Regions from separate parts of the Mus musculus genome. Here region 2 is reported to be linked to region 1. Evidence: microRNA targets listed by miRTarBase, many of them from high-throughput screens and not tested one by one. Region 1 holds a microRNA gene; the other region holds the end of a gene's coding sequence.

Region 1 (3,184 bases):
ATGTATATTCATATACACACATGCACATGCACACAAAACTATACACACATGCAAATATATTGTGGGGAACCCCATAAAATCAGGCTGATCTCTACTCTCTTTTGAATTTATTTATGAATATGAATTCCTGACCCCTCTGAATATGGCAAGCTTTTACATAGTGAGAAAAACTTTCATTTGACCAGTACTACATAACCTTTAAAGCTCAAAATCACATATCATTCAAACATATCAATGAATTCCATTCCTTGTGTGTATGTGTGCATACGTGTGTCCATATACATGTATGTTTATGTTATATATATATATATATATATATATATATATATATATATATGTATATATATATATATATATATATATTCATTTACACAGATGTACACGCACACACATGTAAACACACATGCACATACATGGGTGGCATCACAGGAATACCAGGATAATCTCTAACTGAAGTTAATCATGAATTTGAAATCCTGATTCTCCAGACTTTGTCAATCATTTACAGCTGGTGACTGAGACCATTCACTGTCCCACTACTGCAGTCTCTAAAACTCTAAGTCACCTATCATTCAAATGGATCGATGAGTGCCATTCCTGTGTGTGTATCTGTGCTTGCTTGTATATGTTTGTGTGGATGTATATGTCTATTCATATACACACATGCACATGCACACAAAACTATACACACATGCACATACATTGGGGAGGATCCCATGAAGCCAGGCTGATCTGTACACCATTTTGAAGTTACTCATGAATTTGAACTCCTGATCCATCTGAATATGAAAAACATTTTACTGGTAAGTAAGAAGTTTCATTGGCCAAGTACTACATAATTGCTAAAGCTCTAAGTCACATATCTTTCAAACATATAAATGAATGCAATTTTTTCTCTGTGTGTGTGTGTGTGTGCTTGCATATACACATGTGTTTATGTTATGTATATTCATGTCAACACATGCACATGCACATACAAGTAAACACACATGCACATACATGGGTGGCATCACATGAATACCAGGATGATCTCTAACTGAATTAAGCATGAATTTGAAATCTTTATCCTCCTGACTTTGTCAATCTTTTACACCTGGTGGGTGAGACCATTCAATGTCCCCTATTGCATAATCTCTAAAACTCTACATGACTTATCATTCAAAGGGATTGGCGAATGCCATTCCTGTATCTGTGTATGTGTGCTTGCGTTTATACGTGTGTGTGTATGTTATGTATATTCAAATATAGACATGAACATGCACACACAACTATACACACATGCACATACATGGAGGAATCACATAAATCACAGGCTGATCTCTAAATTCTCATGAGGATAAGTATGAATTTGAACTCCTGATACTCTTAACTCTAGTAAGCATTTTCACTCTAAGTCACTTATCATTCAAATGGATTGATGAGTGCCATCCCTGTGTGTGTGTGTGCGTGCGTATCTATGTGTGCGTGTATGTATATGTATATTCATATACACACATGTACATGTACGCACACACAAACACACATGCACATACACAGGGGCCATCACATGAATGACAGGCTGATCTCTACCTCATCACGCAGTTAACATGAATTTGCACTCCTGATCACCCTGACTCTGGCAAGGGGCGTCACATGGTGAGTGTGACCTCTCCCTGGCCCAGTCATACAGAATCTCTAAGACTCTAAGACACATATCATTCAATAGAACAATGAGTATCCATTTTCTGTGTGTTTGTATGCATGTTTGTATGGGTATGTGTGTATGTATATGTATATTCATATACACATGTTCATGCACACATACATATACACACAAGCAAATAGATTGGGGGCATCACATGAATCCGAAGTTGATCCCAGACTCATCATGAAGTTGAGAATGAATTTTGACTGCTCATCCTCCTGACTCTGGCAAGCATTTTTACCTTTTGACTAAGAGCACTCACTGGCCCAGCACAGCATAATTTCTAAAACTCTAAGTCACCTGTCATTCAAAATGATTGATGGGTGTGTGTGTGTGTGTCTGTGTATCTGTGCTACTTCTATATGTTTGTATGGATGTATATGTATATGCATATGCACACATGCACATGCACATAAACTATACACACATAAACATACATTGGGGGGAACCCCGTGAAGTCAGGCTGATCTCTATGTCATTTTGAAATTACTCATGAATTTGGACCCCTGATCCATCTGAATATAACAAACATTTTTACTGGTAAGTAAGACGTTTCATTGGCCCAGTAATACATACTCTTAAAGCTCTAAGTCATATATCATTCAAACGTAACGACGAATGCAATTTCTTCTGTGTGTGTGTGCCTGCATATACACGTGTGTTTATGTTATGTATATTCATATCAACACATGCACATGCACATACAAGTAAGCACACATGCACATACATGGGTAGCATCACAGAAATACCAGGATGATCTCCAACTGAAATTAAGCATGGATTTGAACTCCTGATCCTCCTGACTCTGTGGTTTACACCTGGTGATTGAGACCATTCACTGTCCCACTACTGCATAATCTCTAAAACTCTAAGTCACCTATCATTCAGATGGATCGATGAGTGTCATTCCTGTGTCTCTGTGTGTGTGTGTGCTTGTGTTTATATGTATGTGCATGTTATGTCTATTCATATACACACATGCACATGTACACAAAACTATACACCCATGCACATACATGGGTGGCAATCACATGAATCACAGGCAGATATCTATATCCTCCTGAAGATAAGCATGAATTTGAACTCCTGATACTCCTGATTCTAGCAAGCATTTTTACCTAGAAAATGACAGCACTCACTGGCCCAGTACTGAATAATTTCTAATATTCTAGGTGGCATATCATATAAATGGATCTATGAATGTTATTCGTGTGTGTGTGTGTGTGTGTGTGTGTGTGTGTGTGTGTGTGTGTGTGCACGCTAGGGTTTATATGTCTATGTATATGTTATGTATATCCATATAGACACATGAACATACACACACAACTATACAAACCTGCATGTACACTTAAGGCATCACATGAATCACAGGCTTATCTCTAAATCATGCTGAAGATAAGCATAAATTTGAACTTCTGATACTCCTAACTATAGTAAGCATTTTCACCTAGAGAATGAGAGCACTCACTTGCCCCATACTGAATAATCTCTACTACTCTG
Region 2 (3,000 bases), not on the chromosome of region 1:
AGCTGGCCCCTGACTGACCTAAACCACACTGGACCTGCAGACTCAACCCAGCTGTCCTTGCTTGCTCCTCTGCTCTGCTCTTGTACCTTTCTCTCTAGTGGCTGGATCAGTGTGCTCTAACATCCTGGGTCAGAGTATAGCTCAAACAGAAAACCCGGGCCTCTCCTGGCCCACTCCCTGACTTGCACCACCCACAGCTCCCAATCCCAGGCAACTCCTTGTTCTAGCTCAAAACACAGCGGGGAACAAACAGTGCAAAAAGCAACACGAACAATGGAGTGATTCTTGACATACACAATACAAAAATAAAAATAAAGCGTGCCCCACCCAGCCCCTTTAACCCAAACCTCAAGTACCTACATCATCTTAGAGGGAGGGGAAAGCTTTCAAGTTCAACGTCAAACAGCTCATTAGCTGGGCAGGCTTGGCTTAGGGAATCCATCCCAGCCTCCGCCACACTCCTTCCCTTCTGCTTCCTCTTCCCTTTTAGTTTTTATTAGCTACAGAAAGATGTTCCTTCCGCTCAGATACAACTAGAGAGGAAAGCACCCGTCCCTATCCCTCCGGGAAGGGGTGGGCTTGGAAACAGAGGCAGAAGCCGAGCCACTTGGCTTACAGTACCATTAGGAAATGGCCCAGGAGTCAGGGTTTCCTTCTGAGAAGGACTCTGAGTCACCAAAGGGGTGAGCTGGGTGAGAAAGCAGGACCCCTCCTTCCTCAGAGACCCAGGCAGACAAGGTGACACGGAGGCAGCTACTCTCCCTCACCTTGTTTAATGTGCTGACAGTGGCCCATAGCTTTGTAAATAGGGATGGACCGGGAACCAGAAGCCAGATTAGTCAGGACATCTGTTGCCCTAGGCAGGCAGTTCCCGAGACCAGGGTAGTAAGTACCTCAGCGTCCTGTAGAAGCAGGACCTTTGCAAGTGCAACTTCAGGCCACAGCCATGCAGCTGCCACCTCAGTACCCTAGGGCTAGCCTAAGTCACAGAGAACACAGAAGACAGTTCTCAAATGACCAAGTGCTGGCCTGGAGTCACCATTAGGAGCCAGTCAAGACATGGCCCCAGAGCTACTTACTTGTCGCACAGCTCAGATATCTGATAAGGCAAACTTAAAATTCAAACACATTCAGAAATAAGGGCCTGGCCTGAGACTCACACGGCTCCAACTCAAGCTGAAGCAAAGCCTGCTGCTTCTGACATAGAAAATCCCTTTTATTGCAGCTGGGCTGTCCCTCACTGTGTCTTAACTGACACACAGATGAAGGTGACCAAAAGGAAGATGGGGGACATGGAAACTTCATCCCCTACAGAGGTGTTTACTGGGAATCTGAGACAGACACTTTGATGCTAAAGTTAGACATTCAGAGCCTCCAGAACTACAGCTGACTAGGAGTCTTTGAGTCCCACGTATTTGGATGGAACTTAACTGCTACTTGGATAGGGGAGGGGAGGGCAGTAGAGCCTACTATTATCATCAATGAGAAACACAGCTGGGCTGCTGCAGCCAGTCTCAGTTCTTTGGGGTGACTCTAGGCATAAGCCTAAACTAGCTGAAAGAGGACAGAAGACACAGGGACAGATGGACATCAGATTCTGGACATTCTAAACAGTGGTCAGTCACTTAGCAGGGCTCAAGTCTCTGAGGTTGCTAACATAAGCCTTTTCTAATCCAAAGACCAGAAGAGACTTTTAAGGTCAAGTGTTCTGTTGCTGCAGGCTGGAAAGCATCCCTGTCCCTGGCAGCAAGACCCTATGGAGGGGCCAGTAAGAGTTGCTGGCTCAGGAATTCAGGGAGGGAGGTACCAACAAGGTGAGGTGGTGGAGGGTCAGACACCCCAGCAGAGACCACTCCAATCTCCTGTCTCCTGCCCAGTTTTGACAATAACTTAGCTCTATGGTTAAGAAGTGAGAAATTTCAAATGAACCAGATTAAGAGAAAAATCAAGAAGAAATCAAGTCCTCAACAGGCACTAAAATCAAAACAATTTGTTGTAGTAACAAGCTGTTGGTGATTTGAGGACCTGACATACACTAGTCGTCTTGGATACCAGACAGTCCTCTAACTGGCACACATCAGGATGAGAGATGACAATGAAGATACATCAACAGATTAACCCAGACGACAGGCTTCCCAGGAAGGAAGCGCTGACTTTCTCTTCCACGCCTTTGTCTTTACCGTCCCACTTATCTACCTCCACACACACACTTGGAATACCATGACTGCTGAAATCACATCTGGACAGAAACTCAGAACACACCCAACTCCAGTGCGGTCTTTCCAGGTTATGTGACATTTTCCTGCTGTTTGTTAATGTCTAACCTAAAAAAACCAAGGAAGTGTGACTGCTCTGAGTTCAGAGTCCTTCCTACTAGGTATATAATGAGGATCCTCGGAGAGGAAGGATCCTCTCCCTAAGTACCCCAGAGAAAGAGAGCTGGGGTGGGGCCAGCTAGGCAGAGCAGGACTGAGCACTCTGCAACCTGTGTTGGTGGGGTGACCCCACTCTCTCTGCTTTTCTTATCTCTTTCCGTGTGTGTGTGAGCACATGTGTGTCTGTGTTTGTGTGTGTGTGTGTGTGTGTGTGTGTGTGTGTGTGTGTGTGCGCTGTTTGATTTGTTTTCTCTTTTCCTAAACACTGTGAAGATTACAGAAACCAAAGTGTCTGGTTTCTCGCACACTCCCTCCACCCTGCTGAGGATGGCCATTTGTCCTCTCACAAGCGGCAGAGGCAGAAGAGGGTTGGAATGAACACTCCGAAGGCCACCAGGATAGGGAACATGAGGCTGCTGTTGTCCGAGGCATAGGGGTTAGGCGTGCGGGGGCCTGACTGCACCCTGTTCTTGTTGGTCTGTCTTTTGAGATTAGACCCCTCATCATATTCCTCCTCCTCCTCCTCCTCTTCTTTCTTTTCCAATCCTGGATGAGGCTGCAGCTTTGGTACATCTAATAGAAAAAAAGAAAAACCCTTTAAGTACACTAAGACCCAGAGCATTTA

What was found. Region 1 holds the annotated microRNA mmu-miR-466n-5p (GUGUGUGCGUACAUGUACAUGU, at 1,493-1,514, opposite strand). A microRNA usually pairs through its seed, bases 2 to 8, with sites in the 3' UTR of a target mRNA and lowers its output. Matches are read on the target gene's strand: a 7mer-m8 pairs with bases 2 to 8, a 7mer-A1 pairs with bases 2 to 7 and ends in A, and an 8mer does both.
Region 2: the mRNA of Mlec is a reported target of mmu-miR-466n-5p. Seed matches in the 3' UTR shown: 7mer-m8 at 2,602-2,608 and 7mer-A1 at 2,565-2,571.

Annotation. Positions count from the first base shown.
Region 1 is chr2:10,510,308-10,513,491 of GRCm38, reverse strand. It overlaps Mir466d (microRNA 466d), which reads right to left and starts at 1,525; the gene lies at 1,430-1,525. The region is part of intron 10 of Sfmbt2 (Scm-like with four mbt domains 2); the gene reads right to left. It overlaps Mir297b (microRNA 297b), which reads right to left and starts at 1,825; the gene lies at 1,717-1,825. It overlaps Mir669m-1 (microRNA 669m-1), which reads right to left and starts at 702; the gene lies at 605-702. It also overlaps Mir669m-2.
Region 2 is chr5:115,145,197-115,148,196 of GRCm38, forward strand. It overlaps Mlec (malectin), which reads right to left. Exons shown (of 5, transcript NM_175403.3): 5 at 1-2,948. The coding sequence ends at 2,719. Among named protein-coding and RNA genes, the nearest start is that of Mlec, 11 kb to the right of the region's middle.